Arabidopsis thaliana: one gene and its partner. The protein of the gene in region 1 interacts with the protein of each later gene in a pairwise test. Each region holds a gene or a part of one and is shown in the gene's direction. Other genes may lie near its edges.

The links.
Region 2: the proteins of HST (region 1) and RAN-1 interact in a two-hybrid assay, tested with the Arabidopsis thaliana proteins (one study listed by BioGRID).

What each region holds. Positions count from the first base shown.
Region 1 is NC_003074.8:1,402,281-1,410,302, reverse strand, and holds the start of HST (ARM repeat superfamily protein), read left to right. Parts: upstream 1-2,012; 5' UTR 2,013-2,207; coding exon 2,208-2,318; intron 2,319-2,728; coding exon 2,729-2,830; intron 2,831-2,932; coding exon 2,933-3,076; intron 3,077-3,175; coding exon 3,176-3,256; intron 3,257-3,345; coding exon 3,346-3,415; intron 3,416-3,675; coding exon 3,676-3,746; intron 3,747-3,822; coding exon 3,823-3,986; intron 3,987-4,080; coding exon 4,081-4,152; intron 4,153-4,237; coding exon 4,238-4,475; intron 4,476-4,820; coding exon 4,821-4,883; intron 4,884-4,981; coding exon 4,982-5,269; intron 5,270-5,346; coding exon 5,347-5,460; intron 5,461-5,589; coding exon 5,590-5,716; intron 5,717-5,811; coding exon 5,812-5,981; intron 5,982-6,112; coding exon 6,113-6,214; intron 6,215-6,547; coding exon 6,548-6,651; intron 6,652-6,743; coding exon 6,744-7,029; intron 7,030-7,159; coding exon 7,160-7,401; intron 7,402-7,498; coding exon 7,499-8,002; intron 8,003-8,022. Other genes in the region: AT3G05050 (Protein kinase superfamily protein), read left to right, coding at 1-305, 389-625, 812-912, 1,022-1,139, 1,221-1,514. UniProt on the Arabidopsis thaliana protein: Nucleocytoplasmic transporter involved in the nuclear export of microRNAs (miRNAs). Required for several miRNAs accumulation. Specifically required for miR156 accumulation which targets SPL3, SPL4 and SPL5 transcription factors.
Region 2 is NC_003076.8:6,758,406-6,762,995, forward strand, and holds RAN-1 (RAS-related nuclear protein-1), read left to right. Parts: upstream 1-1,688; 5' UTR 1,689-1,958; coding exon 1,959-1,961; intron 1,962-2,112; coding exon 2,113-2,182; intron 2,183-2,404; coding exon 2,405-2,461; intron 2,462-2,548; coding exon 2,549-2,666; intron 2,667-2,924; coding exon 2,925-3,342; 3' UTR 3,343-3,925; downstream 3,926-4,590. Other genes in the region: AT5G20000 (AAA-type ATPase family protein), read left to right, coding at 264-420, 532-630, 815-925, 1,005-1,145; RAN2 (RAS-related GTP-binding nuclear protein 2), read left to right, coding at 4,412-4,414, 4,541-4,590. UniProt on the Arabidopsis thaliana protein: GTP-binding protein involved in nucleocytoplasmic transport. Required for the import of protein into the nucleus and also for RNA export. Involved in chromatin condensation and control of cell cycle.

The sequences.
Region 1 (8,022 bases):
TGAAGCAACTACTTTCAGGGCTCGAGCATTGCCATAACCGAGGAGTTCTACACCGTGATATTAAAGGATCAAACCTTCTTATAGATGACGGTGGAGTTCTTAGAATAGGTGATTTCGGGCTTGCAACGTTTTTTGATGCGAGTAAGAGGCAAGAGATGACGAATCGGGTTGTTACTTTATGGTACAGATCACCAGAGCTTCTTCATGGTGTTGTTGAGTACAGTGTCGGAGTTGATTTGTGGAGTGCTGGTTGCATTTTAGCTGAGTTATTAGCTGGTAGAGCGATAATGCCAGGTCGTAACGAGGTTAGTTCTCAAGTAATGATCTTTTTCTTTCCGATTTGAGTTATTTCATATGAAATGTGAACTGGCTTAATGTTCACGAGCAGGTCGAGCAGTTGCATAGGATATATAAGTTATGTGGATCGCCTTCAGAAGAATATTGGAAGAAGATTAGACTTCCTTCTACTCATAAGCATGCTCATCACAAGCCTTTACCACAGTATAAGAGAAGAATAAGAGAGGTTTACAAAGATTTCTCTCCTGAGGCGCTTTCTCTACTCGATACGCTTCTAGCGCTCGATCCAGCTGAACGCCAGACAGCTACAGATGTGTTGATGAGTGATGTAAGTTTTTTGCAATGGAAATTTTGAAACTTTGAATAGAACAAACTAGTTAGGGGTATCAAGTTAGATTACAGAAATGAGAGTGACGCTAAGAATGAAAAATGCTTGGAACTTGTGAATCTTTAGGCGTGTGACTTGATAGTGGTTAAAACTTCCATGGCCGATTTTGTTGTTGTTGTTGTGCAGTTCTTCACGACGGAGCCATTGGCATGTCAACCTTCTGATCTCCCGAAATATCCTCCAAGTAAAGAGATTGATGCCAAGAGACGAGACGAAGAGTATCGGAGGTAAAGCGTTTCTGTTCTAGTATGGATAGGTTTGGTACAATCTCAGTTTTAGTCAGAATATGTTTTGGTTTGGTATATGGTTGCTTGAGAGATGTATTCATTTCTGCAGACAAAGAGAAGCGCGCAAGGCCCAAGGAGAGAGCGGAAGAAGAATGAGACCCCGAGAACGAGCCCCAAGAGCAATGCCGGCTCCTGAAGCCAACGCCGAGAACCAGTCTAACATTGATGTAAGAATTTAAAACAAAAAAAGAAGTGAATCTTTGATTGGTTAATGTCTTGAGTACTTTGAACTTGTTCTCTTAAAACAGAGGATGCGTATGATCACACACGCGAATGCAAAGAGCAAGAGCGAGAAGTTTCCTCCACCGCATCAAGACGGGTCACTCGGTTTTCAGGTGGGATCTTCAAGGCGACTGGATCCATCAGAGATACCGTATAGCACAAACTCATTCACATCATCATACTCCAAAGAGCCATTTCAAACTTGGTCAGGCCCTTTGGCTCCCATTGGAGCACCTGACTCAACCACAAGGAGAAGAAACGATATTAACAAAGAGAGAAGAATGGCTTCTAAGGTCAAAGGCAAAAGAATCGTTGTTTGAGATAATAATTATTATTCATCTCCAAATTTCAAAAGTTTCCTTTTTGATAGATTGAGAAAAAAACAAAATTCCAAATTTTATCTTTTTGGTGGGTTATATGTTCTTTATTTGGTTGTTATGTGTATTGTACAAGAGAATTGACAAAACACAGAAATGAGAGGAATTAATTTACATTCTATGTAAATTATTTATTTGATCCTTATATTTATTGTTCTAGAAGCCTACGTCATTATTGTAAGAGTTGACGTAATATAAATGTTTTTGAAATTGAAAATATGTATATTGGTATAGATGCCAATAAAAATCGTAGCTTTCGTATATAGAGAGACCTAAAACTTATTAATTTAGAGACATAAGAGCAACTCCAACGCTTAGGATCGTGAAAGTTTCTACAAAATCAAAAAATAATAATATTTTAATTTTATAATTATATTCTATTTATTTAATATATGCAAACCACTAATGTGAATTTATAGGATCGATCTTTGATTTAGGAATTTTAGAGATTCTCTCTCATCTTTATTTTAATTTTTATTTGTTTTTCTTGTCTTTAATAGTTAGAGTTTCTATTAAGAAACTACCGATGCGTTTGCTCTAAACCCCAAAACCCAAAGCCAAATCAGAGATTCTGCAAGACGAGTTGCAGAAGAAAGTGTGGGAATCTCTACTTTTGGTAATTATTCGTCGCAAGTAATGGAAGATAGCAACTCCACGGCAAGTAATGTGGCTCGAGCGATTCTCGCCGTCGTCGATTTCAGCTCCACGTCCGACACTCGCAAATCGGCGGTCCAATTCCTGGATTCTGTAATTTGTTCTGTCTCAATTTGCTCGCTTTTAGTTTTCTGTAATCGATTTGCGTACTTATGTTGCATGTTGCATATAATGATGATGTAGCTGGTGTGATCAAGCTTAAAGGAGGATTTGTTGTACTTTGGGGTTTAATTAAAAAATTGAGCTTTTTATTCGTTTCGATGATTTGATCTCTTGGAACATATACGCAAACGTTTTTTTTTGTCTGATTTGATTGATTGATTGAGCTCGAGTTGGTTCTAATTGGAAATTTCCTACCTTTTTGGTCAGAAAGATAAAACTGTGTTGTCGGAAGAGTTGTTTATTATCTTAACCTAATTTTGTTCAATTAGCTGTTGAAAGTTGGTGCACTGTTATGATGGTGTTTGATTGAGTAATGTGCGGTCTTTGAAAAATACTTGCAGGTAAAATCTGGAGATGTCAGGGTTTTGGCAAAGACTTCTTTTCATCTTGTGAAAAAAGAGTGGTCTTCAGAAATTCGTCTCCATGCTTTTAAGATGCTACAGGTTTGTGATTTTTTATTTTCTTTTACTTATAAATCACAATTTTAGGTTCTGAAGGCAAGAGCATAGAAGAAACCTTATGGTGAAGCTATCTTTCTTTTGCAGCATTTGGTTAGACTACGATGGGACGAATTAAGTCCTCCGGAGTGCAGGGGTCTTGTTAATCTTTCTATCGAACTAATGTCAGAGGTTGCTAATGCAAGCGAGAATTGGCCTCTTAAGAGTCAGTCTGCTGCCCTTGTAGCTGAGGTAAGAGTTCTAATTGGTCCGAGTTTTTTTCACTTGCTATGATCATTGCTACTTGTTCCCGTTCACTTTCTCAGATTGATATCTTTATCTTATTTGCAGATTGTTAGAAGAGAAGGCCCTGATCGTTGGCAAGAGATATTTACTTTATTAACTTCATTGTCTGCTCAGGGCCCCTTACAAGTAAAATGTTCTTTCATTTATTTACTTTAGTGTTTTATTTATCGCGGCAATCATTGAAAGTGTTCCCATCTTCTTTTCTTAAACAATAGGCTGAATTGGTATTGATGACTCTTAGATGGCTTCCTGAAGATATTACAATTTACAATGACGACTTGGAAGGTATTTACGATTAGCATACACTTTATTTTCGTAGTAGTCTGTCCACAGGGGGAAGCTTTTTCTAATCTTGAAGTTTAGGTTAAGCCAAATTGAATCGGTTATGGACAGACCCGTATGCTAATATTTGTTAGTCTTGTAATTTTTTGTGCTCACCTTATGCTTTTCAGTTTAGTTATACTCAATCCAAAAATGCATATCACTTTTTGGGTTATAAATCTTTTCATCCTCCTGTCTAACTTCTGTATTGGACATCTCTTCAGGTGACAGGCGTAGGCTATTGTTGCGGGGACTTACTCAATCGTTGCCTGAGATTTTGCCTTTATTGTATAATGTATGCCACCGATAAATTCCTTTCAGTAAAGTTGTTTTGTTGCTGTGGTAATTTGCTGAATATACCAAAAATGCAGCTTCTTGAGAGACACTTTGGAGCTGCAATGAGTGAAGCTGGTATGCAGCACTTTGACTTGGCAAAACAGCATGCAGATGTAGTTATAGCTTGCTTGAATGCCATCGTTGCATACACTGAGTGGGCTCCTGTTCCAGATCTTGCCAGATATGGAATTCTTAGTGGGTACGATTTTTGTTCACACCCTTAAGAAGATTGTTATATTGATATTAGCCCTGCATTATATCTTGCTGATGACGTGCTCGGATACTCATAACAGGTGCAGCTTCTTACTTTCTTCTTCTGACTTCCGTCTTCATGCTTGTGAGGTTTTCAAACTCGTCTGCTCAAGGTATGCAACTGGGTTGTTTGATCTGATGTGCTTACGTGAGCACGAATAGACAGCTTTAATTTTTGTTTGCTTTTCTTGTCTGCAGAAAAAGACCCAGTGATGCTTCTACTGCAGAGTTCGATTCTGCAATTAGCAATTTGTTTCAGATTCTGACGAATGCCTCCAGAGAATTCTTATGTAGATCCTCCTCAAGTTCTAGCGTTATAGATGACAATGATTATGATTTTGCTGTATGCATGTGTGAGAGTATGGCCTCTTTAGGCTCAACTAACTTGCAAAGCATCTCTTCTGATGGTGGTGTTATGGCTGTTTATCTTCAGCAGGTACTGATCTCGTATTTTTAATGTGTTATTTTGATACTTAAATGGATGTTTTCAGTGAAGAAGGTGGAGCTATTAATTTATATTGGAAAAAAACCCGCTGTCTGTGTTGCAATGGCATTCTGAAACAGAATAAGTTTGAGATATTATTTTAGTTCTTGAATGACCCGATTCCAAGTGTATACTAAATTTTGAATGCTTGCTGATATATTTTGAGGGATCTAAGCCAATTATAACTTTAAAATCGTTCTATTCATGTTAGCAATAATATTATGCATTAGTAGTGTTTTTTCCCCACAAAATAATCATGTTGTGTTTATGTTGCCTTAATCGTTTGTATTGGTATAGATGCTTGGCTTTTTCCAACACTTCAAGTTGGGCCTTCACTTCGAGGCACTTCTCTTTTGGCTGGTATGTGGTCTTCTCTAATCCAACCTTCTTCATTGGGAAATTTCTAAGACAGACATATTTGCTGCTAATTTCAGCGTCTTTTTCCTTTTGGGTTTTAGTCACTGATGCGGGATTTACTTCCAAAACCCAAGGCTGCGACTTATCCAAGTGGTGGGGGATCATCAACTGGCGGTGATGATAGTTCAAGCCAGGTTGATAGTGAAAAGAAAAAGACTTTAAGTCTTATTAATGATGACATCTCGAGCGCTATACTGGACGTATCTTTCCAGCGGATGCTCAAGAAAGAAAAAGTTCCTACTGGAATTGCTCTTTCGCTTGGGCCCCTAGAACTCTGGAGTGATGAATTTGAAGGGAAGGGAGACTTTGGCCCGTACCGATCAAAGCTTGTATGTTCCTGAATCAAATGCATTGGGTATTACTTTCCAGAAAAACACTTAACTAGAAACTTCTTTCTTTCGTGCAGCTAGAATTGATCAAGCTTACTGCTTCTCACAAGCCTCTCATCTCCAGTACCAAAATATCTGAAAGGGTGATTACACTCATTAAGCACCTATTGGCTTCTCCAGCTCCTCTTCAGGTTTTGTCTCGAGCACTTGTTTTCCTCTGTTGACTTCCTTTGACAAACATGCACTCTTAGATTTCTGCTATATGGAGGCCTCTTTGATGATCCAGTTCTTATTTAAACTCATGGTAAAAACATTCTCAGCATGTAGCAGTGATGGACAGCCAGCAATTAGCACTTGACTGTATTGTGGCAACGCTTTTTGATGGATCAAATGAGTTTGCTGGTGGAAGTTCTGAAGTTCATTATGCATTACGTGGAATATTTGAGGGTATATTGCAGCATTTATTCACATTCTCAAGTTTTGTTTACTATGTCTGGGCTTGTACAATACTAATACTCGGTATTGTGCTGTTGATGGCCCAGGATTGCTTCAGCAGCTTCTCTCTTTGAAATGGAATGAACCAGAACTTATGAAAGTGCATGTCCACTATCTGGATGCAATGGGTCCCTTTCTCAAGTATTTTCCAGATGCAGTTGGAAGTCTCATCAATAAATTATTTGAGCTTCTCACCTCTCTTCCACACGTTGTGAAGGTTTATTTTTATTATTTTTGTATTTATTTTACATACATGCGCTCGTATATACAAATAAGACGTTTTCAACTTTTTGACATTGCACATGTCAAGGTGTGGATGAGTTATCTAATAGCTTGTTTCTTTGGCAGGATCCAGCTACTAGTACATCTAGAGCTGCAAGATTGCAGATTTGCACATCTTTCATAAGAATAGCCAAAGCTGCAGAAAAAAGTGTTCTGCCTCACATGAAGGTAGCTTTGATCTCTCACAAACTACATTTAGGAACTCATATCAGTAAACGTTGGAGAATTGTTTGAAGAATTTATGTTTAGTTAAGCTTGTGCGGTGTGATATATGGATATACCACCACTCAATTTTATGGCTACCTTCTCTCTGGAAGATACCTTTATCATACTCTCGAGTATCATGATTTATGACATTATATGGCTACTTTCTCTCTGGGGAAGATACCTTTATCATTTTGGTGGCAGAATTCTTATTTTTCATTTTCTTAGTGGCCTCTCTGGATAATCTATAGCACAAAAAAGTCATGTCAACTGTCATACTGTCATAATTTTGTGCAGGGTATTGCTGATACAATGGGGTACTTGGCAAAAGAAGGAACTTTACTCCGTGGGGAGCATAACATTCTGGGTGAAGCATTTCTTGTTATGGCTTCCTCAGCAGGGTAATGTTTGATTCAAAAATGAAGTTTACTATATTGCATATCTCCTGCTTCAGATTTGTCATGTTCTTAGATATAATCTAATCTTGGCGCAGAGCTCAACAGCAGCAAGAAGTTCTGGCTTGGTTATTGGAACCATTGAGTCAACAGTGGATCCAACCAGAGTGGCAGAACAATTATCTATCAGACCCGATGGGTCTTGTTCGTTTATGCTCCAACACATCCTTCATGTGGTCCATATACCACACTGTTACATTCTTTGAGAAAGCACTCAAGCGAAGTGGATACAGAAAAAGCAATTTGAACACGACCTCTGCGACAACTCCAGCTTCACATCCTATGGCTCATCATCTTTCTTGGATGTTGCCACCCCTCTTAAAAGTATGGCCTGGAAATGTGGACATGCTTAGTATAATTCATAATTAAGTTCCTTAGTGCCATATTGGGATGATTTTTTCGTTTTCGTTTTTGCAAGAATAACATGACAACATTCATTTTTTTACATCTACAGCTACTCCGTGTTCTTCATTCCCTTTGGTCTCCCTCTGTATTTCAAACATTACCCCCAGAAATGAGGGCGGCAATGACAATGACTGATGCTGAGCGATACAGTCTCCTTGGTGAAGCAAATCCTAAATTGTCAAAAGGCGTATCGGTTTATGCTGATGGGTCATTCGAAGGAACTAAGGAAGGACAAGCCGAGGCAAGTGAATCTGATATACGAAATTGGTTGAAAGGTATCCGAGATTGTGGGTAAGTTTGTTGTATCCTCCTTTGAGCAAGCCTTGCATTGATCATTTGATTTTTCTCTCATTTATCTAAACTCATAAGTGTTTGTTTACATGTTTAGATACAACGTGTTGGGCCTATCAACAACCATCGGAGAGACATTCTTTAAATGCTTAGATGCTAACTATGTTGCAATGGCACTCATGGAAAATTTGCAGTCGATGGAATTCAGGCACATTCGGCTGTTTATTCATACCTTTATAACTTATATAGTCAAATCTTGTCCGGCGGATATGTGGGAGTCATGGCTGGGAGTGCTTCTGCACCCATTGTTTATACACTGTCAGCAAGCTCTCAGCTCCGCCTGGCCAGGTCTTCTACAAGAGGGCAGAGCAAAGGTTCCGGACTTGTTTGGCATACAAAGTGGATCAGACATGAAACTTGAAGTGATGGAGGAAAAACTGTTAAGAGATCTAACTCGGGAGATTGCGACTCTCTTTTCAACAATGGCTTCTCCTGGACTAAACACAGGAGTTCCAGTTTTGGAACATTCAGGACATGTTGGTCGTGTGGACATGTCCACTCTCACGGATTTGCATGCGTTCAGATCCAACTCTATGGTGGGGTAAGTATACTACATCTATA
Region 2 (4,590 bases), on another chromosome or scaffold:
CCCGTGCTTAGTAGCTGTAGTGGACATGTGGAGTAAAATAAATTGAGTAAATTGTTCTCTGTTCCTGCTATGAATATGGTTTCAACATGTATACGATCTCAAGCATAATGATCTTTACAAGTAGTCTCGATGCCTAGCATTTAGGCCACAGTAATAGTCTTTTGTAATGAGCAAAGTATACACCATTAATCATCTTCATTGTGCTGAAAAATACTTATTCCAGCTAGCTTACCTTTCTAGTACCTCTGGCTTATGGTTTTCAGGGAGCATGCACCATCAATCATCTTCATGGATGAAATCGATAGTATCGGGTCTGCTCGTATGGAATCTGGTAGTGGAAATGGTGACAGTGAGGTGCAAAGGACTATGCTTGAGCTTCTCAATCAACTTGACGGATTCGAGGCGTCAAACAAAATCAAGGTATGCCTTATGTTGTGAATGAAAAAATAGTCATGAAGCTGAAAAGGATAACTCTGTGTTACTCTGAATTTCGCAGACAAAGTTGTTAATTCTCTTAAATGACTGTTGCAGGTTTTGATGGCTACAAATCGTATTGATATTCTGGATCAAGCTCTTCTCCGGCCTGGAAGGATTGATAGGAAAATTGAATTTCCTAATCCTAATGAAGAGGTAATGCTTGTGTTTCTTAGGACATGATATTAGAAATAACTTTAAACTTGAAGTAGCAACTTTGCTCACTCCGTTGTTTTTGGTAAACTATCATTTACTGCGTAAAATACTTTTCTCCATACTTATTGTACCCAAAGTGAGGCAGGACGGTTTGGCTAATGTATATTTCTAATATGTGTTGCAGTCACGTTTTGATATCTTGAAGATACACTCAAGGAAAATGAATTTGATGCGTGGAATCGATCTGAAAAAGATTGCAGAGAAGATGAATGGTGCTTCAGGTGCTGAGCTGAAGGTAAGTGTTTCTCTGTCCCTGCTTCTGTCTTGTTCTCTCCAATCTGTCTCTCTCTAATGTTTTTGGTTATTACGGTCAGGCTGTATGCACGGAGGCGGGCATGTTTGCACTTCGTGAGAGGAGAGTACATGTGACTCAGGAAGACTTTGAGATGGCTGTGGCGAAGGTAATGAAGAAAGACACAGAGAAGAACATGTCTCTGCGTAAGCTCTGGAAGTAGGAATTTCAGAGTCACAGATTAATTTCGATTATTTCTTCTCTACTGTCTGTGGTTCTTTCTGAAACCTTTTCGGCTAGCGCTTTAAGCTTTTCTAAACAATGTTTGTACACTAGTTTCTATTCATTCAAATGGTTGTTCAGCATAACATCTTCGATTCAACCAAGCTTACATTTTACATCTTAAGAGTATATTCTTCTCCAACTCAGTCTCATTAGCTTAAAGAGAAAACCAACTAAAAGATTGTTTGAGACAAAATAATCGACATAGCTTTGTACCTGAGATCCACCGCTGAGGTCAATAGTGAGTGATTTGAATTTGGAGTGTACATTAATTTAGAAATTCAACCCATCTGGCATGTGTCAAGAATAATTTGAAAACTATCCGTTATGAACAATAAAAATCCTTATTGATGAATGGTGTCTATTATTAAAAATTGAGGTATAAATATGATAAAGAAAATAAATAATTTATTTTGTCAAAACCAACGCGTATATATTGTAATGAATTTAATTTCAAAATTTGCTAAATGTGAAAAAAGGAAAGAAAAATCAATGCCGATGAATGAGTACGCGTGGACCTAAAGCTAGAAAAAGATCCAACGGTGGAGAAAGCTGCGTTAAAATTGCAGAAGAACCAAAGAGAAAGAATCCAACGGCCAATAGTGTAGCGTCAACTCAAAGCCAAACCCTCCCAAATTTCTCTTTTAAAAACCCCAATCTCTCTCTCCCTCTCCATCTTCATTCTCCCTCTCGCCGCTTCCTTCTTAACACCATCGCCTGAATTCGCTCTCCTCTAGCTCGCGATTGCGAAAACATGGTACATGTTCTCTTCGATTTTACCGATTTCTTCTTCGTGTATTATCAGATTGTATACCTTGATCTAGGATTATCTCCGTCTCAGATCTCACGAGATTGCGTCGATGTTTCCATGTTCTAGTTTCTAATTTCGTCGTGGATATATTTTTCAGGCTCTACCTAACCAGCAAACCGTAGATTATCCCAGCTTCAAGCTTGTCATTGTTGGTGATGGAGGCACAGGTACGGTACTCTTCGCCGTGTTTTTTTTTATCGATTAATCAATGCTTGGATTTACGTTGATGGTGATTGGGGTGATAGAGATAGGCTCATATGCTAAGCAGATTTTGCTAGTCGACTCTTTATAATCCGTACTGTTGTATCCAGTGGCTCAATTGATTTCAAGTATGGTAATGTGTTTTGATTGTTTTGCTAAACCTTTGATTGCTTTTGGTGGTTGTGCAGGGAAGACTACTTTTGTTAAGAGACATCTTACTGGGGAGTTTGAGAAGAAGTATGAACGTAAGTATTGCTTGTGAATGTTCAGATTTCTGTTCTTCATGTCTCTTAAATGATTCTGATTTTGAGTCGTAATCTTGTTTGTTGCAGCTACTATTGGTGTGGAGGTTCATCCATTAGATTTCTTCACAAACTGTGGCAAGATCCGTTTTTACTGCTGGGACACTGCTGGACAAGAGAAATTTGGTGGCCTTAGGGATGGATACTAGTAAGTGTGGACCCTTTACTTTCTCATTGATAGGTTAGTGTCTAGAGTCAATCTAGAGTGTGCTTAGTTTGGATTAGCTCTGGTTAGGATTTGAAATTGGCAACCGATTAACCTGGACAATGGGTATAAGACTGGTATGTTTTGAAGTATGCATAGTTTGCAACTGATTTTGTTACCTGGACAAATAGAGTAGAACTTGAATTTTAATTTTGATATTCCATCTGGATGTATAGCTAATCATCTTTGAATTTCTTGCAGCATCCATGGTCAATGTGCTATAATAATGTTTGACGTCACAGCACGGCTCACATACAAGAATGTTCCGACATGGCACCGTGATCTCTGCAGGGTGTGTGAAAACATCCCGATTGTTCTGTGTGGGAACAAAGTTGATGTGAAGAACAGGCAAGTGAAGGCAAAGCAGGTTACATTCCACAGGAAGAAGAATCTGCAGTACTATGAGATATCAGCAAAGAGCAACTACAACTTTGAGAAGCCTTTCTTGTACCTTGCTAGAAAACTGGCTGGAGACCAAAACCTTCACTTTGTGGAGACACCAGCGCTTGCTCCACCAGAGGTTCACATTGACATTGCTGATCAGCAGAAGAACGAGGCCGAGCTCTTACAGGCTGCAGCTCAACCCCTCCCCGATGACGATGATGATATCTTTGAGTAAATCATCCTTCTAGAATGTCTGCCGTGGGAAGCTCTTGCTTGTTCCTTTTGGTTTTCTCTATGTTGTTTTGGTGTTACATATAAATCAATCGGTCTTTCTTATAACAAAAATTAGGTATGTATTTTTGGATGGTTCTTCTGATGGTATCCAAAGCTAAGTTGTTTCTTCGCAAGAATATTAGTTGATTGGAAAACTTTATTCTACCTCCTATTACTTGCCAGTTCTTAGATTTCAGATGCCACTCTTTAGCTACCAGGTGATGTCATATAAACCTGGGTAAAATTAGCTGCAAGTAGATCTTGTTGGGAGACCTGACCTGCATTGACAATGGTTAAGTTCTTTGCCTTCCCCGATCTCTCTAGCTTTGCAGATTCTTCTGCAATCCTCTTCCTTTTCTTCTTTGAAACTTGATCTTCTTAATCAATCCGCACCAGAACTTGTAGAATAATAATCGGATAACTTTTTGTTTGGCAACCATTCTTGCATTGAAGAATGAAGTAACCCTTTCCCTCAAATCAACGACCGATTTCAATCCGTGATTCCAGACATTTTCTTCAACCGTGAGCTCTAAGACCAATTTCTGCAAGTTTGAGCTTAAGAATTTATCGATGTGTATATTAATTTCTGGAAATATTGTTGGTATTAATATGTTACCATTAAATTTGAAAGGCATCATTAGATGGATGTCATGTGAGTGAGTACTTGAAATTTTGAAACTATCCGTTACGGACAATAAATCCTTATTTAAATGATTTGTTAGTAAAAAACTATGCTACAAATAAAATCAAAACTTCACATACGATACAGGAAATAAATATATTATTTATTTTGTCAAAACTCAAAACCAGGACCTAAAGCTGAAAAAAAAAAGATCCAACGGTGCAGAAAGCTGCGTAGATATTGGAGAGCCAAAAGATGGAATCTAACGGTGGAAAAAATAGCGTCAAACCTAAGCCAAAACCTCCCAAAATTCTCCTTATTAAAACCCCATCTCTCTCCCTAGTCCCTCTCGCCGCATCGCTTCTTAAACCTCGACGACATCAACGTCTGACTTCGCTTCTCCTCTCACATGGTGAACATTCTCTTCTCTTTTCCCGATTTCTTCGTCTTGTAGTATTTAGATCTCACGAGATCGCTTAATTTCGTTGATGTTTCTTTTTTCGGATTTTACTGAATTTTGTTGTGATATCTTGTTCAGGCTCTACCTAACCAACAAACCGTAGATTATCCTAGCTTCAAGCTCGTCAT